2 linked regions of the Anolis sagrei genome follow. The protein of the gene in region 1 purifies or fractionates together with the protein of each later gene. This does not show direct contact. Links are inferred from orthologs where the notes say so. Each region holds a gene or a part of one and is shown in the gene's direction. Other genes may lie near its edges.

The links.
Region 2: the proteins of DTX3 (region 1) and RNF114 purify together in Homo sapiens (affinity purification with mass spectrometry; 3 studies listed by BioGRID and IntAct, counting the BioPlex papers as one, with this or other methods). This does not show direct contact. The link is inferred for Anolis sagrei from reciprocal best matches to the Homo sapiens genes DTX3 and RNF114.

What each region holds. Positions count from the first base shown.
Region 1 is NC_090022.1:186,264,209-186,275,955, forward strand, and holds the start of DTX3 (probable E3 ubiquitin-protein ligase DTX3), read left to right. Parts: upstream 1-7,480; 5' UTR 7,481-7,746; intron 7,747-11,747. UniProt on the Homo sapiens protein: Regulator of Notch signaling, a signaling pathway involved in cell-cell communications that regulates a broad spectrum of cell-fate determinations.
Region 2 is NC_090024.1:221,682,188-221,693,945, forward strand, and holds the start of RNF114 (E3 ubiquitin-protein ligase RNF114), read left to right. Parts: upstream 1-6,299; 5' UTR 6,300-6,435; coding exon 6,436-6,587; intron 6,588-11,758. UniProt on the Homo sapiens protein: E3 ubiquitin-protein ligase that promotes the ubiquitination of various substrates. In turn, participates in the regulation of many biological processes including cell cycle, apoptosis, osteoclastogenesis as well as innate or adaptive immunity.

The sequences.
Region 1 (11,747 bases):
GCACTCAAAAGTGCAAACACGTAATATTAAAAAAAGTGCAAAGACAACAACACAAAGGAACAACAACCAACATAAACATCACAAAACCCCCCGATTAAGATCAGTAAAATCCAACAATAGCTGCAGAACACAAAACAATATGTAATCAATTTCAGTCTCATGGTTAATTTCAACAGTAAGTGCAGACTAGTTTTTTTTTTCTCATTTGTGTACCTATGTGAAGAAGTGAAGTGATCAGAGAATAGGGAACTGAGATAACCCTGTTCCCTATTCTCTGCCCACTTCGCTTATTCAGGGGGATAGGGAAGAGAATGATGCCAGTATTCAAAACTTAATTCTGTTATTTGGTTCTTAATGGTAAATCCTAGAACTGGAAGAGACCACAAGGGCCATCCCCCTGCAATGCGGGAAAACCCAAAGCATTCCTGACAAGGGTGACCATCCATCTGTTTGAAAATCTCCAGAGAAGGCAACTCCACCACAGGGTGAGGTTTGAGGAGTCTCACTGAACAAAACATTTCCATTCACGGGGCCAAAGATCATCTGAATTTGCTACACTTTTGTATATGCAGCACAGTTCTCAACTGAATAGTAATAGCTTTCATATTGTTATACAAAATGCCTACTTCAGGAAAATCATTTTCTAATGTTCTAGTTCTATCGACCCCTGTAAATGCCATTGGTTCAGAGTAGTACCTATGCAGCTATAACTAAATCCACAAGTATGGAACTGTGGCCCTTTATGGCTCTATACTATTGTTGATACATTTTCAAGAAACCTCATACTGCTAGTGAGAGAGCAGTGGGTGCTGGGGCACTCCTCAGTATGTTATTGTGCTTGTAAGACTTCATATTCCAAGGATGTTTCAATGATAATGGATGGGAAGCATAATTTGACCATCCCCTTAAAGTACCTACAAGTAAAATTAATAATAACTTGCCCACCAACACTGAGCTTCTTAAAACCAGTTCTGGAGTCTCTAATGAGATCTGATGACTGCAGGCCAAGATGTCCTGAATTCAAAGGGTGTCCCAGTTTGGCTTTGGGCAAACTTCTCTAGCCCATCCATCTTTTGTCTGCAGTTTGGAGATAACGCCACCCTTCTGTTATGAATGAAGAAAGAGGACAGGCGCCAAGCTTGAAGAACCTATTTCGTCACGATGGCGGTACATAAGCCAATTTAGCTACTGCACCCTAAACTCTTGCACTAACATATGCACATAGCTATACATTCACATTTGAGTCACTGTTGCCCAACTTGAGTTTCTCCCTGTCCTTGAAGAACAGTACATGTGGACACCTGCCAATGCTGCTATTGATAGTTTATTTAATGCTTAGACCATAGGTCTTTCACATATAGGACATACAAATAAATACATAAAAGCCAGATTATAAAATACAATACAAAATATACCATTAAAATACTATATAAAGAATTAGAATCATTAATATGCTACATAAATCAATTGCGAGATGCACCCTTAAAATACTGCATAAAATTATGTATTGGCACAGTTGGTAATTTTTAGACAGCAATTTGCTTTCGGTCACCAGGGATCTATCCCAATAGATCCCTACCTACCTTCTAACGCACCATGTACATGGGTAGCACTATAGAAATAAATGACATAACTAATCACTATATTTTTAATGGAGAAGACTAAATCCAGGAGTTTTTCCATGCCTCACTCAACTACTGTACACTTGAACCAATGCATCTGCTCTTAGGACCAATGAAAATAAAGTTTTAGTTTTAGGTGCCCTGAGGAGGAAAGAAGGTGGAGCCAATAGGCAGAGGGTTGTGTATGTATTTCATAGAATCATAGAATCAAAGAGTTGGAAGAGACCTCATGGGCCATCCAGTCCAACCCCCTGCCAAGAAGCAGGAATATTGCATTCAAATCACCCCTGACAGATGGCCATCCAGCCTCTGTTTAAAAGCTTCCAAAGAAGGAGCCTCCACCACACTCCGGGGCAGAGAGTTCCACTGCTGAACGGTCAATTTACACTGTAGAATGAGGTTTGACACCACTTTCAACGCAGTGGCTCACCCTGCTCATCATAATAGGTAAGTAAGATTGCCTTCCAAGTGAAGGGTCTTTGCGGATGAGCACGTAGAAGACCATAGAGACCTATTCTGTATCCGCATGTTCTTTCGCAGTGGGGACATCAATTTCCAGATGTAAGGCTTGACATGCCTTCCTGTTGCATGTTTATCCCTTTTGCCATCCATTTGTGCCTTTTTGAATTCCACAGCATTGTTGCTCACAATTGACCTCCAGTTAGGATGCTTGAAGGCCATGGCTTCCAAGTTCTATGTGTCTATGCCACAGTTTTAAGCTTGACTTTAAGCCCATCTTTAAATCTGTTTTCTTGTCAAGCAACATACCATTTTAGTTCTTGGGTTGGGAGTATAGTAAGTGCTTTGGTAAATGGTGATCAGGCATTCGGACAAAGTAGACAGTTCAACAGAGTTGATGGCATAGGAGCATTGCTTCAGTGCTGGTGATCTTTGCTGCTTCTTCCAGACCACTGACATTTGTCTGCCTGTCTTCCCAAGAGATTTTGCAGGATTTTTCAGAGACAACACTGGTGGAATCATTCCAGAAGTTGAGTGCGACGTCTGTAGTAGACGGTCCATGTTTTGCAGGCGTATAGCAGGGTTGGGAGGACAATAGTTTTATAAACAAGCATCTTGGTCTCCTTACAAATGTCCCAATCCTCAAACACTGCTTCATTCAGAAAAATTCTGCACTCATACAGCTCAGGCAGTGTTATATTTCAGTGTCGATGCTGACTTTTGTGGAGAGGTGGCTGCCAAGGCAGCAGAAATGGTCAACATTTTCTAACATTACAACATTAAGCTGTATTTCCAGCTCTGCAGAGGGATTGGCTGGTGCCTGCTGCACGAGTATTTTGGTTTTCTCAATGTTCAGTGAGAGATCAAGCTGTTTGAATGCTTCTGCAAAGGTGTTTAGAATGGCTAGTATGTACAATCATAGAATAATAGAATTGGAAGAGACCACATGGGCTACAAAGCCCAACCCCCTGCTAAGAAGCAGGAAAATCATGTTCAAAGCATCCCTGACAATTGGCCATCCAACCTCTGCTTAAAAGCCTCCAAAGAAGGAGCCTCCACCACACTTCAGGGCAGAGAGTTCCAATGTTGAACAGCTCTTACGGTCTGGAAGTTCCTCCTAATGTTCAGGTGGAATATCCTTTCCTGTAATTTGAACCCATTGCTCCAAGTCCTAGTTTCCAGAGCAGCAGAAAACAACCCTGCTCTCTCTACCTTATGACACCCTTTCACATATTCATACATAGCTATCATGTCTCCTCCCAATCTTTTCTTTGGCAGGCTAAAAATACCCAGTTCTTGAAGACACTCATCATAGTGATTAACTGTCTCCAGACTCCAGGTGAGTACTAACCAAAGCAGAATAGAGAGGCACCATGACTTCCCACAATCTAGATACTATACTCTTTTTGATGCAGTCCAAAATCCCATTGGCTTTTTAAGCTGCTGCATCACACTGTAGGCTCATGTTCAACTTGTTGTCCACAAAGACTCCCAAGTTCTTTCCCACATGTACTGTTGTTGAGCCAGGCATCACACATCTTGTATCTTTGCATTTCATTTTTCTGCCTAAGTGTAGTATCTTACATTTTAGTCCTTGTTGAAATTCATTATTTTAGCTCTATAATTTGTTAAAGTGAGTATGATCTGGAGTATTAGCTCTTCCTCCTAATTCAGTGTCATCTGCAAACTTGATAAGCACATCTTCTAAACCTTCTACCAAATCATTACTAAAGATGTTGAACAGAACTGGGCCCAACACTGTGGCAATCCACTTGTCACTTCTTTCCAGGATGAAGAGGAAGCATTAGTGAGCACCCTTTGGGTTCGGTTGCTTAACTATAGAATCATAGAGTTGGAAGAGACCTCCTGGGCCATCCATTCCAACCCCCTGCCAAGAAGCAGGAATATTGCATTCAAAGCACCCCTGACAGATGGCCATCCAGCCTCTGTTTAAAAGCTTCCAAAGAAGGAGCCTCCACCACACTCCAGGGCTGAGAGTTCCACTGCTGAATGGCTCTCACAGTCAGGAAGTTCTTCCTAATGTTTAGATGGAATCTCCTTTCTTGTTTGAAGCCATTGTTCCGCGTCCTAGTCTCCAGAGAAGTAGAAAACAAGCTTGCTCCCTCCTCTCTGTGACTTCCTCTCACATATTTATACATGGCTATCATATCTTCTCTCAGCCTTCTCTTCTTCAGGCTAAATATGCCCAGCTCTTTAAGCCTCTCCTCATAGGGCTTGTTCTCCAGACCCTTGATCATTTGAGTCGCCCTCCTCTGGACACATTCCAGCTTGTCAATATCTCCCTTCAATTGTGGTGCCCAGAATTGGACACAATATTCCAGGTGTGGTCTAACCAAGGCAAAACAGAGGGGTAGCATTACTTCCCTGGATCTAGACACTATACTCCTATTGATGCAGGCCAAAATCCCATTGGCTTTTTTTGCTGCCACATGTCATTGTTGGCTCATGTTTAACTTGTTGTCCACAAGGACTCCAAGATCTTTTTCACATGTACTGCTCTCGAGCCAGGCATTGTCCCCCATTCTGTATCTTTGCATTTTGTTTTTTCTGCCTAAGTGGAGTAACCAATTATACCAAGTAAACCAATTATAAATCTATGTAGTAATAGTTTTGCCTAGCGCACATTTAACTAGTTTGCTTGCAAGAAGGTCATGGGGGGCTTTGTCAAAGGCCTTACTGAAATCAAGATATGCTATTGGAGCATCATCATTACATCGGTGCCCCTTCATTTGGTGCAATGCCTGGGATATGAACCCGGGCCTCCCACATGACAGGTGAGAATTCTACCACTGAACCACCAATTCCCTGCATCTACCAAGCCGGTAACTCTATTGAAAAAAGAGAGAATACATCTAATATATATCTCCATTGATTCTATAGCACTGAGCCATGACAGTTAAAGTGATGTCAAACTATTGATTTTACAGCACAGATGCATCCTTGGCTAACTCAAACAACCTATTCAATGCTAATCAAGGTGATCAATTGCAACATTCACACTTACCTCAGGCAGACAAGAGTTCTTTCTCCCACCTTGGATATTCCACAGATATATAAACCTCACTTGCCTAATTTCCAACAGACCTCACAACCTCTGAGGATGCCTGCCATAGATGTGGGCAAAACATCAGAAGAGAAGGATTCTGGAACATGATCATACAGCCTGGAAAACTCACAGCAACCCAGGGATAGAAATTAACTAATATTAGTATTAATAATGATGATCGCCTTGAGGCAAGTGGTGCCAAACCGTGTTAATGCCACAATGTGTAGATGCTGCACCCCTGGGCATGCTTTAGTAAGGTTCTCAATCTTTCTAATGCTGCAACCCCTTAATTCAGTGCCTCATATTGTGGTGACCCCCAACCTTAAAATTATTTTTGTTGCTACTTCATAATGGTAATTTTGTCACTGTTATGAATTGTAATGTAAATATCTGATATGCAGGATGTATTTTCATTCATTGGACCAAATTTGTCATAAATACCCAATATGTCTAAATTTGAATACTGGTGGGGTTGGGGGAGAATTGATTTTGTCATTTGGGAGTTGTAGTTGCTGGGATTTATAGTTCACCTACAATCAAAGAGCATTATGAATTCCATCTATGATGGAATTGGACCAAAATTGGCACACAGGACTCCCGTGACCAACAGAAAATACTGGAAGGGATTGGTGGGCATTGGCCTTGGGTTTTGGAGTTATAGTTCACCTACATCCAGAGAGCACTATGGAGTCAAACAATGAAGGCTCCGGACCAAACTTGGCATGGATACTCAGTATGCCCAAATGTGGACACTGGTGGAGTTTCGGGAAAATTGACCTTGACATTTGGGAGTTGTAGTTGCTAGGATTTATACTTCACCTACAATCAAAGAGCATTCTGAACTCCACCAATGAGGGAAATGAACCCTCAAATTGAACCAAACTTGGCACACAGGACTCCCATGATCAACAGAAAATACTGGAAGGGTTTGGTGGGCATTGGCCTTGGGTTTTGGAGTTGTAGTTCACCTACATCCAGAGATGTAGGATCTGGACCAAACAATGATGGATCCGGACCAAAATTGGCATGGATACTCAATATGCCCAAATATGGACACTGGTGGAGTTTGGGGGAAATAGACCTTGACATTTGGGAGTTGTAGTTGCTGGGATTTATAGTTTACCTACAATCATATAGCATTCTGAATTCCATCAATGATGGAATTGGGCCAAAATTGGCACACAGGACTCCCATGACCAACAGAAAATATTGGAAGGGTTTGGTGGGCATTGGCCTTGGGTTTCAGAGTTGTAGTTCACCTACATCCAGAGAGCACCGTGGACTCAAACAATGATGGATCTGGACCAAACTTGGCATGGTTACTCAATATGCCCAAATGTGGACACTGGTGCAGTTTGGGGGAAATAGACCTTGACATTTGGGAGTCGTAGTTGCTGGGATTTATAGTTCACCTACAATCAAAGAGTATTGTGAACCCAATCAATGATATAATTGGGCCAAACTTCCCACACAGAACCCCCATGACTAACAGTAAATACTGTGTAGGCCAGGGGTCCTCAAACTAAGGCCTTGGGGCCGGATACGGCCCTCCAAGGTCATTTACCCGGCCCTCGCTCAGGGTCAACTTAAGTCTGAAACGACTTGAAAGCACACAACAACAACAACCCTATCTCATCAGCCAAAAGCAGATTCACACTTCCTATTGAAATACGAATAAGTTTATATTTGTTAAAATTGTTCATTTTAATTATTGTATTGTTTTAAATTTTTTTTGCACTACAAATAAGAGATGTGCAGCGTGCATAGGAATTCATGTTTTTTTCAAATTATAATCCAGCCCTCCAACAGTTTGAGGGACTGTGACCTGGCCCTCTGTTTAAAAAGTTTGTGCAGGCTGTGGGTTTTTCAGGCTGTATGGCCATGTTCTCTAGAAGCATTCTCTCCTGACGTTTCGCCTGCATCTGTGGCAGGCATCCTCAGAGGTTGTGAGGTCTCACAACCTCTGTGGATGCTTGCCATAGATGCAGGCGAAACGTCAGGAGAGAATGCTTCTAGAGAACATGGCCATATAGCCCGAAAAAACCTATAACAACCCAGTTGTGAGGTCTGTTGGAAACGAGGAAAATGGGTAAATACTGATGGTCTTTGGCGACCCCTCTGACAGCCCCCTGCCGTAGGAGAAGGCATCCTGGCCCCCCACCCTCTGGGCAGAGAAACCCACAGCTCTTTCCCCTCCTCTTTTCTTTCTTTCTCCTCCTCCTCCTTTCCTCCTCTTCGACGCCCGCCCACAGCCTCCTCCTGGGCCCCTCTCTCGCTCTTTGGCGAGGCTGTTGCTATGGCGACGGTCACGTGACTGCGCCTCGGCGGGGAAGGAGGAGAGAAAGAGGAAGAAAGAGGAGGAGGAGGAAGGGGAACCGGCGGCGCTAAGACCCCGGGCGGCGCGAGGCTTCCTCGGGCGCGCCAAAGGCAGAAGCAGCAGCAGCGGCAGGAGGAGGAAGAAGCAAAGCAAGCAGCAGCCAGCAGCGCCTCCTCCTCCTCCTGCTCTCCCTTTGGCAACCTTCTCCTCCTCCGGCACGTCAGCTCTTCCTCAGCCTCGATGGATGGAGCCTCCCTGCCGCCCCCAGAGGTGCCGCTATGGTGGGTTTATCTCGGGATCGTGTCGCTTCAGAGGGGGAGGAAGCGGGGGAAGCAGGAGCCGGGGGAGGAGGGGAGAATCCATCGCGAAACAAGGCACCGCCGCCGTCTGGACCTCATCAAAAACGCCTCTGCATGTGGCGCATTGCAAACAGCTGCAGCATCAGCCCTTGCCTTGTTGAGTGTTTTTTGGGGCTGGGTCTCTGCCTTGTTGTATTATTTGGGGGAACTTGCAGGTGGGGGCCCCTACCTTTTTTTTAAAGGCCCCACAACCTTTTTAAAAATGCAGCATCTCCTTTATGCCCCCCTAAAAGCATTGAAGTGGGTGCCCCCCCCCCCCCCAAAAGAGATTGATACAGTTGTGTCAATCCTGGATGGAGCTCACCTAGTGCCCACCTTTGTGAGGTTGAAGCAGGGAGTATTTCCCTCATTGACAATCTCTTATTTTGGGGAGGGGAAGCGATATAGGGTCTTACCATAGGGGGTGTATTTGGATGATTATTTTTTTGTGCATCCATAGGGGTGTTTTTTTGTTTTGCCTCCAATCAGGGTGTCAAATGGTTAAGGAGAGCAGGTCCAAATTGATGCCTCCCCTGGCCTCATTTTCCAGGGAAAGTAGTCTGCAAAATAGAGGTGTATTAGGGATGGTTTTGTTTAGGAGGTGTAAAATAAATAAATATACTAATCTAGCTTCAATTACAATCAGGTCCAAAAGGGATCGGAGTCTGGATTATTTTCCCAGGTGGAAAAATAGGGATTTATTTATATTTTTGGGAGGTGGGGGTCTCATTTTCCAAGGGATGTGGTCTAAAAGATAGAGGTGTATATTAGGGATGGTTTTGTTTAGGAGGCATAAAATAAAGAAATACACTAATCTAGCACCAATTGGGAGCTGGTCCAAAGGTATTACTTTCCCAGGTGGAAAATGAGGATTTATTTATATTTTTGGGAGGTGGTGGTCTCATTTTCCAAGGGAAGTTGTCTAAAAGATAGAGGTGTATTATGGATGGTTTTGTTTTGGAGGTGTAAAATAAAGAAATATACTAATCTAGCTCCAATTAGGAGCAGGTCCAAAGGTGATCGGAATCTATATTATTTTCCCAGGTGGAAAAATAGGGATTTATTTATATTTTTGGGAGGTGGTGGCCTTATATTCCAAGGGATGTGGTCTAAAAAATAGAAGTGTATTATGGATGGTTTTGTTTTGGAGGGTAAAATAAAGAATTATAATAATCTAGCTCCAATTACGAGCAGGACCAAAAGGCTTACTTTCCCAGGTGGAAAAATAGGGATTTATTTATATTTTTGGGAGGTGGTGGCCTTATTTTCCAAAGGATGTGGTCTAAAAAATAGAAGTGTATTATGGATAGTTTTGTTTTGGAGGCGTAAAATAAAGAAATATACTAATCTAGCACCACTTGGGAGCTGGTCCAAAGGTATTATTTTCCCAGGTGGAAAAATGGGGATTTATTTATATATTTTGGGAGGTAGTAGCCTCATTTTCCAAGGGATGTGGTCTAAAAATAGAGGTGTATTATGGATGGTTTTGTTTTGGAAGCGTAAAATAAATAAATATATTAATCTAGCACCAATTTGGAACTGGTCCAAAGGGATAGAAGTCTGGATTGTTTTCCCAGGTTGAAAAATAGAGGTCTATGTATAATTTTGGGAGGTGCTCGCCTCATTCTCTAAGGGAAGTGGTCTGAAAAATAGAGGTGTATGGATGTTGTTGTTTTTTTGTTTTGGAGGTGTAACATAAATAAATATGTCCAAAAGGATAGACCTCTGGAATGTTTGCCAAGGTGGGAAAATAGAGGTCTATGTATATATATATATATACACACACACACACACATACACACACACATATATATGGGGGGGGGGGGGAATATGGGGACAGAAGTGGCTCCAATTGGGATCAGATCCAAAAGGATGGGGCGCCGAGGCTTATTTTCCGAGCCATTGTCTTCCACCCCATTGGTGGTCCGCTTCTCTATTGTTCCCTATTTATCCTTTATTCCTTCCAAAGAAAGATGGGACTCTCTCTTGTCTTTGATAAACAAGATCTCATGCGTGGATCCGCTAGTCGTCGGAAGAGGTTACTAATAATAAAGCCTCTCCCCACCACCACCCTGAACTGGATCTCAAGGAGGGAAAGGCGTTCTTTCCTCTGCCCACTAAAATATTTTTATGTCTTTCCTTCTTCCTTTTTCCCTTCCTTTTCCCCTCCTTTTGCCATGTTTGTTTTCCTTTTTTCACCCCCTCTCCCTGACTGACAATAGACCAGGCCTGTGATCTTTTATCAGCCAGGTGAGACCCACAGAAAGGTACAGTCTCGGCCTTGCCCAAGGTCACCTGGATCAAAGGCTGTCCAGATAAAGGCAAGGCTCCTGTATCCATGCATCGCGGTTATGTGTCTACAAAGGCAAAGTAGCTTTCAGCCTGGCGCAGCTAGTCATCATTGGGGGGAGCGGGTGTTGTTTGGGAAAAACAGCATCAGAAGACATTCCCCATTCACAACTCTCACGAGTATGAATTGCATCCCCGAGATCAAATATATGGACCACCTCTGCTGGCTGGACTGCCTTGTTTGGTGTAATTCTTCTTGCAGGCTGCCATTGAGAGAGAAAAATATAAATCCATTTTTGAAGGGTTGCTCAATTCTGTAGGGTAAGTCCCTTAGCCTCCATCTTGAGAGAAAAGGCAGGAAATAAAAAGCAACCCTTTCTGATCCTTGGGTAGGGGTGCATTTTTTTCCTACATGGCAAGGCTGTGTGTTTTTCTCCTCCTACTCAAGGTCCAACAGGTCATGAAAGCTGGAGACATTGGGACTGTGTTGTTAGTTTTTGCTGCATCTTCTTTGCACGGTCGGTTGGTTGTTGTAGAGTTCTTTTTTGATGATTTCTTGTAGAGTTGGATGAAGTTTATGTGCTGAGTTCTTTGACAATGTACGTCAGGCTCACTATCAAATATAAATAACTATTTAAGCTGACTGGCTGCTTCCTCTTCTTCCTTTTCTTCTTCCACCACCTCTTTTGTAAAGTCTTCCACTCGGTGTGCATCCACACTGTAAAATGAATGCAGTTTGACACCACTTTAACTGCCATGGTTCAGTGCTGTGGAATCATTTGGTGAGGTGCCAGCACTCTTTAGCAGAGAAGACTAAGGCCCCTTCCACACCACTGAATAAAATCCCACATTTTCTGCTTTGAACTGGAATATATGGCAGTGTGGACTCAGATAACCCAGTTCAAAGCAGATATTCTGGGTTATATGGCTGTGTGGAAGGACCCCTAGAGACGTGTATCTAAAACTCCCATGATTCCATGCCATTGAGCCATGGCAATTAGGTTAACATAGCATAGAAACTGTTATAAATTCTGTAGAGTAAGATGCACTCTGACATAAGAATCGCTGTTTAGTTGGCATGTTTAATTCCCGAAGACTTAGATTAGTCTCCTCTGTAGAAATCTTGCACGATAATCTCCATAACCCAGTCCCAGGGCCCTTCCACGCAGCCCTATATCCCAGAATATCAAGGCAGAAAATCCCACCATATCAGCTTTGGGTTATCTGAAGCCACACTCAGATAATGTAGGATTTTTTACCTTGATATTCTGGGATATAGGGCCATGTGGAAGGGTCTCCAGTGGGTGTAGTGCAGCGTTTCTCAACCTGGGGGTTTGGACCCCTGGGGGGGAGGGTCATGAGAAGATGTCAGAGGGGTCACCAAAGATCATCAGAAGACACAGTATTTTCTGTTGGTCATGAGGGTTCTATGTGGGAAGTTTGGCTCAATTCTATTATTGGTGGGGTCCAGAATGCTCTTTGATTGTAGGTGAACTATAAATCCCACAACTACAACTGCCAAATGTCAAGGTCTATTTACCCCCAAACTCTACCAATGTTCACATTTCGGCACATTGAGTATCTGTGCCAAGTTTGATCCAGATCCATCATTGTTTGAGTCCACAGTGCTCTCTGGATGAAGGTGAACTACAACT
Region 2 (11,758 bases), on another chromosome or scaffold:
TATAGATAATTTTTGTGAGTGTTTTTTGCTATCATGCATGCAAATAAACTTATTTTCTGTTAAGCAGAGGTGCATTGATGCTGATATACTAATATGTGAGTACTGTGTTTGCATACTTACATTAAAACTGGGAAAAAGCTACATCCTGGTAGAAATGCTCACCAACCAATTCCGCTCACTTGGAGGGACAGCTACATGCCTAAAAATCCAGATTTCTGTAAAACCTCAGGGTAAAAAGCAAGTATTAAAAATGGAGTAATGTCCATAAAAATGCATTGTGCATGTTAAATTCAGAACAAGGTGTGTCGGAATTTCAGTCAATATAGGCAAGACCTGTATTATCCTATTTCAATGTAGATATATATATATACCTTGTGGTATCTTAAACGCCTATTTATGTAGCATAAGCTTTCATCGACTAGGAGTGCTTCCTTAAATGCATGGGTTATAGCTTCAGCGGAGAGACATTTATAACAACATACGTGGGTGTTGTGTGTGTGTGTAAGTAATTCAGCTGAAATGCAAAGCATGCCAGCTTGCAGATGGAGTGACAAGAATCCCCTTCTGGTGGTCAGTTACACATCCACAGATAAGCAGGTAAAGACCTTTGGTAGAGAAAAGCATTTGTCTTATAGTTGTATTAAGTTGCTAGTACAAAAACAAAAGTCCAAACACAGTCATGAAAAACCAGAGACTTGACTTGGAGGATATATGTGTTCAACTTTATTGAACTGAGTTACAGAAGAGCTGTTTTGAGCTTGTTAAAGGAAAGTTAGGATGTAAGTGTAACAAATGTATCAGAAATATCCTGAAACAAAGGGCAAGAGGCTTCCTCTTCTTGTTCCCTATATAAAAACTAACAAAACCGATAGCTGAATTTCTCAACACTGGTAGTGGATCAGTGTCCTCCATTTTCATTTTAGAGGTATAAGGCAAAGTGCATGAGCAAGTTTGTTTAATTTATTTTTATCCTGTCATTCTCCTGAGACAGGAACTCAGAATAGCTTTGGTGTGCAGGTTGCAGCTTTTTCCTCCAACACATTGTAGCCACTCCCCAGCAAATGCTATCTAAGGCCCCATATATACTGACTATTTAATGCAGTTTCAAACTGCTGTTGAAGAAAGTGGTTTTGCTGTGTGGATGATTACACAAACTACAGAGCACTGATGCTTACTCAGGACTCTCTTTTGTGCATTTCGTTGTCTAGTTGCTACAGTTGAAACTTCATCAAACTATCAGTGTAGGTAGGGCTTGAGATACCTGATATTAAGTCTCTCTCTGACCAGAGGATTAACTTTTCTCATAAGTGCCTTCTTTTAGGTATGTATATATGTCTGTATTAGATTTACATCCTGCCTTTCTCCCAGATTGGGATCTAAGATGTCTTTGCCTTTTTGGCAGTCATTCCTATGAAAAAAAAATATTGTAGTGATGAGGGCAAAGCATGAATATTGATTGAGGGAATACCCTTTGTTGTGGCACCTTCAAGTTATTCCTGAGTTATGGTGACAAACCTATATGCAGTTTTCTTGACAAAACTTGTTCAGAGGGGGCCCTTGCCCCTCTGAGGCTGAGAGAGTGTAACTCACCTTAGGTCACCAGAGCTGTTTCTATAGCAGAGCAGGGATTCAAGCCCTGATTTCCAGTCATCATCCCATGCTGAAGTCACTTTGCCATGCTGGCTCCCTGAGGAATCTCCTAGGAGGGTACATCTAGTTCTTTGTAGATGTGGCACGTCAAATGTGTGGTGCACATAAATTAAGTACATCTCACTCTGCAGTACACACACACACCCTCTTTTCTTATCCTACTTCTTGCCATGATAATAAGCATTTCGGTACTTGGTAACAGTGATGATGGAATGACACTTCTCTCTTCATTTCTCCCACATTTACCATATCTTCTTTCATGGGGGGAGGGAGGAGTGAGTATTAATTTCTGCACATATTATGTGCAAAAGCCACCACCAACAGTCTAATCCTTTTGTCTGCAGCCTTCCACTATGGATTTTTCCCTCTTGTCACAGCTACAACATAGTGCCCACACACAGCTTCTGTTCTGTTCTGTGCAATCGTCTTCTGTTCCCTGTCACACACTGCATGCAACAACGTATGGATTCAAAACATAAATCATCAGATGGTGACCTGATGCCAGCAGTGACAAATAACTGCAGTTAGTGATGAGAATTTCTCCATATTGCATGATGATTCATACTTCTCCCCTCCCACTCGTAACTCTTAGCTTTTGTCTTCGGCATGAAACTCCTATATGTCACCTATACAAGAAAAAATCTGGTCCAAAGAAAAATATGTGCCAAGTAAAAAAAAATATTATTGTTCAGATTGGAGTTCTTGTGGCTGACAAGGACCCATGAAGATGAACAAAGCCTAACAAGTTGACCAAAGAACAATAACTTCATTGTCATTGTACAACGAAATTAAATGCTTTCCCCAGCACACATCACAAAAACAACACACCCATCCCTTCACACTCCAACCAAAGCAGTTGGAAATTGACCTTTATGGTGGGGTCACTAATGAAATGTGTTTCAATTAAATGGAAAGCCCCAATTAATTATATCTGGGAGCTATATAGGTGACTTATTTGTCTCCTACCAAATAAAATAGTGTTGTTGTTCATCCATAATACAACTAGAATAGCAGAGATTATGCACTTATTTGGGTCAAAGTTAAAAAATCAGCTAAACTGACTTGTTGTTGTTGTTCATTCGTTCAGTCGTCTCCGACTCTTCGTGACCTCATGGACCAGCCCACGCCAGAGCTCCCTGTCGGCCGTCACCACCCCCAGCTCCTTCAAGGTCAGTCCAGTCACTTCAAGGATGCCATCCATCCATCTTGCCCTAGGTCGGCCCCTCTTCCTTTTGCCTTCCACTTTCCCCAGCATAATTGTTTTCTCTAGGCTTTGCTGTCTCCTCATGATGTGGCCAAAGTACTTCAACTTTGAAACTGACTAGTCAAAACATAATTGGCCACATCTAAGAAAGAATAGAGACTGTTACTTTTCTCAAAAAGTTGTAATCCAAACGTGTAACATTTCCAGGCTCTGGTCTGACATTATCAGATATGTAACATTTCCAGGCTCTGGTCTGACATCAATTAGGTTATAACAGTGTCATAACCTAATTGATGTGATGGGAATAAATGGAGGCACACACACCCCAGAAATTAGCAGGTGAAGCATTCTCAGTTCTGGCACCTCCAAAGTGAAGAATAACTAGTCAGTTTAGCTTAAATAGCCTAAAGGCACCAGATCTTGTCTGATTTTGGAAGCTAAACAGGAACAGCCCTGGTTGGTACTTGGCTTGGAGTCCGCCAGGAAATCACAGGTGCTAGAGGCGATATTTCAGAAGAAGAAATTGGCAAAACCACTTCTGAGGATTCCTTGCCTAAGAAAACCTTGTTAAATTTGTGGTATCGTTGTATGTTTATAGGTGACCTGAAGGCACATATACACAATACTGATGCTTCATGTACATTGCTTGTTTGTTCTGAAAACATATAAAGGACACTTAGCAGCTATACCTGGAGAAAGGTGGGAACCTGATAGTGTCAGCATGCCTCATAGTGGGTGAATTATTATTTTTTCGTGTCAGGAGCGACTTGAGGAACTGCAAGTGGCTTCTGGTGTGAGAGAATTGGCTGTCTGCAAGGACGTCACCCAGGGGACACCCAGATGTTTTGATGTTTTATCAACATTGTAGGAGGTTTCTCTCATGTCCCTGCATAAGAAGCTGGAGCTGACAGAGGGAGTTCATCTGCACTCTCCCTGGATTTGAACCTTTGACCTGCTGGTCTTCAGTCCTGCCAGCACAAGAGTTTAACCCACTGCATCACCGAGGGCTCCTAATTAATTAATATGGAAACTACCAAAGCTACAAATTAATTCATATGGAAACTACTGATGCTGTAAATTAATTCATATAGAAATTAGATCAGAGTCTTGCCACATCTCTTTAGATTTCTATGTATTTGAATGACATTTTTTCTGGCCAGTGAAAAGGCCAATCTTAAAATGGAAAATCATGCTATAGGCATTACGTCTATTCATTTTAATGGAAAACGCTGCACTCAAGTTTAGCTCCTTGGGATCACCTTTATTTTAGAGTTGTAGGACACTTGCCAGAATTGCCTGCTCACTAATGATCCAGGATTTAGAATTTCAGTGCATTCGATGCCTCATAAATTGTTATGTAACATCTTTTTCCACACCTAGTTTTCATAATGTGTGAGAAAATCTGGAATGAAAAAGAAAGCATGTGTGACTTATTGCTTCTCCGTTTTTTTAAGCAGATCTCTGCTGAATACTTTTGCACTTTGATCTTAAAGCAGACAGTACACAACTTGCTTTGAGAACAATCCTGTTCAGGATATCCCTGGTGTGCAAACAACAAACCTAAACAGAGTCAAGACAATGTTATTTGTGGTAGATCTCAGTTCATCATCCTAAAGGACAGTATTTGGGCAAAGGGGTTTATCAAATCCAGTATTCACCTTTTATCATGGCTATTGTGGGGATCATGTTTTTTTCCCAAATTGCTTTAGACCTGATCGTTTAATCCAGATGGTGATGGTATAATAGGAGGATAAGTGGTCACCTGTCCCTTTAATGGATAACAATCTTCTTTTTGAAATACTGTTACAGGACAGTCCTTGTTTTGAACTCCTATTTCGAACCATTGGAAGTGGTGGTTCCTAGACTTGTGTCACTGTGCAAGCTATCAGCTGTCAATCCACATAGTTTCCAGGAACAAAGAAATTAGACTTGCTAGATTTAAAATTAGAAGGGTTCTTGCACCTTTAATTATTGCGTCGAAAGTTTCAGCATACATTTATTTAGGTTCTTGTAGGTTTTTTCAGGCTATATCGCCATGGTCTAGAGGCATTCTCTCCTGATGTTTCGCCTGCATCTATGGCAAGCATCCTCAGAGGTAGTGAGGTCTCTTGGAACTAGGAAAAAGGGTTTATCTATCTGTGGAATGACCAGGGTGAGTCAGTTGTATTGTCTTTAAAAGAGGGGGGAAAACCCACAAACCTCGCAAACTTGGCATTCTATGAAATGTTCTTTGACCCGTAGCTGGCCACTTAGAGTGCCTCTGGTGTTGCTACAGTCTGAGCCCTGCTACATGCTCAGTGGAGGACCTTCTTGTAGCAACACCAGAGGCACTCTAAGTGGCCAGCTACAGGTCAAAGAACATTTCATAGAATGCCAAATTTGCAAACTTTGTGGGTTTCCCCCCCTCTTTTAAAGAAAATACAACTGTTGGTTCGCTCCTGATATGAATAAATAATAAGTTGGGTTGTTCTAGGTTTTTTGGGCTATATGGCCATGTTCTACAAGAGAGGAGATTCCATCTGAACACGAGGAAGAACTTCCTGACTGTGAGAGCCGTTCAGCAGTGGAACTCTCTGCCCCAGGGTGTGGTGGAGGCTCCTTCTTTGGAAGCTTTTAAACAGAGGCTGGATGGCCATCTGTCAGGGGTGATTTGAATGCAATATTCCTGCTTCTTGGCAGAGGGTTGGACTGGATGGCCCATGATGTCTCTTCCAACTCTTTGATTCTATGATTCTCTCCTGACGTTTCGCCTGCATCGTGGAGTGCCATCCAGTTGGAAGCCGATGGGCAAAGTACACAACCGGGATGTTCCAAGAGTCCCATCCCACACAATTAAACGCAGATATTGACAAGTTGGAATGTGTCCAGAGGAGGGCGACTAAAATGATCAAGGGTCTGGAGAAAAAGCCCTACGAGGAGCGGCTTAAGGAGCTGGGCATGTTTAGCCTGAAGAAGAGAAGGCTGAGAGGACATATGATAGCCATGTATAAATATGTGAGAGGAAGCCACAGGTAGGAGGGAGCAAGCTTGTTTACTGCTTCCCTGGAGACTAGGACACAGAACAATGGCTTCAACGTACAAGAGAGGAGATTCCATCTGAACATGAGGAAGAACTTCCTGACTGTGAGAGCCGTTCAGCAGTGGAACTCTCTGCCCTGGAGTGTGGTGGAGGCTCCTTCTTTGGAAGCTTTTAAACAGAGGCTGGATGGCCATCTGTCAGGGGTGATTTGAATGCAATATTCCTGCTTCTTGGCAGAATGGGGTTGGACTGGATGGCCCATGAGGTCTCTTCCAATTCTATGATTCTCTCCTGACGTTTCGCCTGCATCGTGGGGTGCCACCCAGTTGGAAGCCGATGGGCAAAGTACACAAGAGTCCCCTCCCACACAAACTCCCAGCCATTAGGAACGCTATTCCTGCCGCGCCTGTGCAGTTGGGCTCGGTGGGCGTGGCTTAGGCTCGCTGGGCGGGGCCTGGGCCGTGTTGTCCCTTTTAGGCCGCCGTCGTTCGTTCCTCTTTCGCGTTTGGTAGAATTGTTGTGCTACCGTTGGGATAACTGTCGAGGTCTGTCTCTCACGAAGATGGCGTTGGCTGAGGCGAGCTCTCGGTACCCAGAGGGGGCTGCTGCTGCCTCCGCCGTCGCTGCGAACTCGCTGGACCCGCTGTCCCGCTTCACCTGCCCGGTGTGCCTGGAGGTGTTCGAGGGCCCCGTGCGAGCCCCCTGCGGCCATGTGTGAGAACTCAGGGGAAGGGGAAGGGGAGGGCGAGGAGAGGAGAGGAGGCCCTGAGGAAGACCAACAGCAGGCCTCGGGGATGTAATGGCAACCAGGGATATTGAGGGAAAGGGTGGGAGGGGAGGGCAAGGAAGGGCAGCCTCAGCCTTGTTTGGGGCCCCTTCCACACAGCTGAATGAAACCCCACATTTTCTGCTTTGAACTGGAATATATGGCAGTGTGGACACAGTTCAAAGCAGATATTGTGGGATTTGCCTTGATTTTGTGGGATGTAGGGCTGGGAAATGCGAAAGACTGCTCCAACCTCCGTACAGTGGCCCTGATTTCTCATGCCAGTAAGGTAATGCTCAAAATCTTGCAAGGAAGACTCCAGCAATACATGGAGCGAGAGTTGCCAGATGTTCAAGCTGGGTTTAGAAAAGGCAGAGGAACCAGAGACCAGATTGCCAATATCCGGATGCTGGATAATGGAGAAAGGCAGGGAGTTTCAGAAAAACATCTATTTCTGCTTCATTGACTACTCTAAAGCCTTTGACTGTGTGGATCATAATAAACTGTGGCAAGTTCTTGGTGGGATGGGCATACCAAGCCACCTTGTCTCTCTCCTGAGAAATCTGTACAAGGACCAAGTAGCAACAGTCAGAATTGACCACGGAACAACAGACTGGTTCAAGATTGGGAAAGGCGTACGGCAAGGCTGCATACTCTCACCCAACCTTTTTAACTTGTATGCAGAACACATCATGCGTTGTGCGGGGCTTGATGAATGCAAAGCTGGGGTGAAAATTGCTGGAAGAAACATTAACAACCTCAGATATGCAGATGACACCACTCTGATGGCCGAAAGCGAGGAGGAGCTGAGGAGTCTTCTAATCAAGGTGAAAGAAGAAAGCGCAAAAGCCGGGTTGCAGCTAAACATCAAAAAAACCAAGATTATGGCAACAAGAATGATTGACAACTGGAAAATAGAGGGAGAAAATGTGGAGGCCGTGACAGACTTTGTATTTCTAGGTGCAAAGATTACTGCAGATGCAGACTGTGGCCAGGAAATCAGAAGACGCTTACTTCTTGGGAGGAGAGCAATGTCCAATCTCGATAAAATAGTAAAGAGTAGAGACATCAGACTGGCAACAAAGATCCGCCTAGTCAAAGCCATGGTATTCCCTGTAGTAACCTACGGATGTGAGAGCTGGACCTTAGGGAAGGCTGAGCGAAGGAAGATTGATGCTTTTTAACTGTGGTGATGGAGGAAAGTTCTGAGAGTGCCTTGGACTGCGAGAAGATCCAACCAGTCCATCCTCCAGGAAATAGAGCCCGACTGCTCACTGGAGGGAAGGATACTAGAGACAAAGTTGAAGTACTTTGGCCACATCATGAGGAGACAGCAAAGCCTAGAGAAGACAATTATGCTGGGGAAAGAGGAAGGCAAAAGGAAGAGGGGCCGACCAAGGGCAAGATGGATGGATGGCATCCTTGAAGTGACTGGACTGACCTTGAAGGAGCTGGGGGTGGTGACGGCTGACAGGGAGCTCTGGCGTGGGCTGGTCCATGAGGTCACGAAGAGTCGGAGACGACTGAATGAATGAACAACAACAACAGGGCTGTGTGGAAGGGCCCTGGGAAGGGGGGGGGGGGCTAGGTCACAACGTTGGGGTTTCTGTGAAGGGAAAGGATAAAAGGACGAGTTAATAATAATAATAATAATAATTTATTTGATCAGTCATATGACCATTTCAAAATAGAACACGAGTAAAAAACAAGCAAGGTGATAAGTCAGAATCTTATTTTCCTGGTTCTTCTTTCAGGAAATCTGTTTTTTTCTTAATAGCTTTCAGAATAAAAAGGCTTACTCTGATGATGCTGGATCTTTCCTGCCCTTGCAAGAGGGATCTCAGAATATCATTTCTGTTGGGGAACCTGCAGTTGGATAATATTAGATGTAAATATGTGTCTCGCAGTTCAGTATATGCTGGACAGTCAATTAAGAAATGTCCAATGTCTTCCACTGTTTGTTCTCCCCAGACGCAGAATCTCTCACTTCTTGGGATGTTACAGTAACACCCGGTTTGCACCATCGTACCGAGTTGTTCAAACCTAGCCCTAGTATATATTCTTCTTAAGAGCCGTCGCAAACTAGGTTCCTGCGGGAGAAAACCTTGCTAGCAAGTCCCTGACGTCATGAGCCTGCGTCTCTCTCCCCGCCCCTTTCTCCGCCCCTTTCTCTTTGCCAGCGTGGTTTTTCCTTTGCTAGGGCAGCATTGCCCGCATTTTCTCTCAGTTGAATTCTGCCAACTGAGAGAGTATGCTGGCAATGCTGCCCTAGCAAAGGAAAAACCACTCTCGCACGGAGAAAGGGGTGGAGAAAGGGGCGGGGCGAGAGGCGGAGTCTCGTGACGTCAGGGACTTGCTAGCAAGGTTTTCTCCCGCAGGAACAGAGTTTGCGATGGGTCTAAGGGTAGAGGAAGTGGAATAGTTAGGTAGTGCTCTAAATGAATATTCCTTTTTGTGGGAAGCTAAAAACCTTGTGGCTGAAGACCTACCTATGCTCTCTAGGTCCAGCTGTGCATAGACATCCCTAATGCGCCGCTTGAGCACTTGCCCTGCCCCCAGACCCAGAACACCCAGAAATTGCAAAGGCAGACCGAATCCAGCCAGCTCATTATTCAGAGCCGCCATCCACGATGACTTCTGGACATCGCTTCTCGGCCTTTTGGCTAAGATCAAGTGTAAAGGACGAGTTGTATTTGGCCGGGGTGGTCCATGCCTTAGTCACCTCTAGGTTGGATTACTGTAATGCGCTCTATGTGGGGCTACCCTTGAAAACGGCTCGGAAATTCCAACTGGTCCAACGGGCGGCGGCCAGGATGTTAACTGGCGCTCCTTACAGAGAGAGGTCAACCCTCCTGTTTAAGGAGCTCCATTGGCTGCCCTTTACCTACCGAACCCAATTCAAGGTGGCTGCCAATTTGCTACCGGGCACAATTCAAAGTACTGGCTTTAGCCTTTAAAGCCCTAAACTGTTCTGGTCCGATCTACCTGTCCGAACGCATCTCCTCCTATGAACCAGTTAGGACATTAAGATCGTCTGGGGAGGCCCTGCTCTCGGTCCCGCCAGCTTCACAAGCACGCTTGGCAGGGACGAGAGACAGGGCCTTCTCAGTGGTGGCCCCTTGGCTGTGGAACGCCCTTCCTGCAGACATCAGATCGGCCCCCTCCTTACTGACATTCCAGAGAAAAGTGAAGACTTGGCTATTTGAACAGGCATTTGACTAAGCAGTGCAATTGATTGAACATGGAATAATGGATAACGAGACTGGATTCTGATTCTAGTGATGAGATCTGATGGATTTGTTATATTGATGTATTGGTATATTGTTGTATCGTTCATCCAGAGAGGCCCTGCTCGCGATCCCACCTGCGTCACAGGCGCATTTGGTGGGGACAAGGGACAAGGGACAGGGCCTTCTCTGTGGTTGCCCCTGACTCTGGAACACCCTCCCCAAAGACATTAGACTAGCACCCACGTTGGCAGTCTTTAGGAAGAACTTGAAGACCTGGCTATTCCGATGTGCCTTTCCGGAATAGGATAACCCCCAGCACTATGTCCCAGAAGCAGTTTATTACAGTTTAAGACTCTCATTGCACTTGCCCAGAATCCCAACATACTACCTTTCACACCCAGCACTTTTTAACCTGTGCCCATCACTGGCCCGGCCCTGGTTTTTATTGCATAATAGTGTAATGTTTTGTTATTGCTTATGTTTTTAATTTGCTTTGCATCGTATTGTTATTGTTTGCTGTTGTTGTGTTGAGGCCTTGGCCTTTGCAAGCCGCATCGAGTCCTTTGGGAGATGCTAGCGGGGTACAAATAAAGTTTAATAATAATAATAATATCTGTGAAAGATAGAGTCATAGGAACCTTCCATACTGCCCTAAATCCCAGAATATCAAGGCAAAAAATCTCATTATCTGAGTGTGAACTCACATAACCCAGCTCAAAGCAGATATTGTGGGATTTCTGCCTTGATTTTGTGTGATGTAAGGCTGTGTGGAGGGGGGGGGGGCAAGGTAACAACGAGAGCTATAGGTGCTGAGAGCGGGTTGGGGTTTCTGTGGAGGGAAAGGATATAAGGGCGAGTTATATCTGTGGAAGATAAGAGTCATAGGGCCCTTCCATTCTGCCCTAAATCCCAGAATATCAAGGCAAAAAAATTGTTTTCATGAAAATGAACAAAATCTGGCTACCAGTATTAAAAACTCTAAAATTACAATAGCAAAACAACAGAGAGGAAACTATCAGGGACAGCTAATCACCTCTCAACAAAAGATTCCCCCAGGCCCTAACAAGCCACACTAAAAAAACTTCCAGGCCATCAAATGCTAATCAAGGTGGTCAGTTGAAACATTCACACCTAGCTCCAGCAGACAAGAGTTCTTTGTCCCACCCTGGTCATTCCACAGATATATAAACCTTTTTTCCTAATTTCAACAGACCTTACTACCTCTGAGGATGCTTGCCATAGATGCAGGTGAAACGTCAGGAGAGAATGCCTCTAGAACATGGCCACATAGCCCCAAAAAATCTACAACAACCCAAAAAATCTCACATTATCTGAGTGTGGACTCAGATAACCCAGCTCAAAGCAGATATTGTGGTATTTTCGGTCTTGATATTCTGGGATATAGGGCTGTGTGGAAGGGCCCTGAGGCACCAAGGATAGATTGAAGGCCCTGAATACTTTCGGTTGCCATTATTGTCCTCTCTTCCACACCTGCAAACTCATTCTCAGGGACCTTCCACACAGCCCTATACCCCAGAATATCAAGGCAGAAAATCCCACATTATCTGAGTGAGGACTCAGATAATCCACCTCAAAACAGATATTGTGGGATTTTCTGCCTTGGTATCCTGGGATATAGGACTGTGTGGAAGGGCCCTGGGTCTCTGGAGCAGACATGAGCAATCCCCGCCCTCCAGGTGTTTTGGAATTCAGCTCCCACAATTCCTTACAGCCAGCAGCCAAATTGTGTGAGTTAAAGGGCCCTTCCACACAGCTATCTAATCCAGAATATCAAGGCAGGAAATCCCATAGTATCTGCTTTGATTTGGGTTATCTGAGTCCACACTACCATATATCCCAGTTCAAAGCAGATATTGTGGGATTTCCTG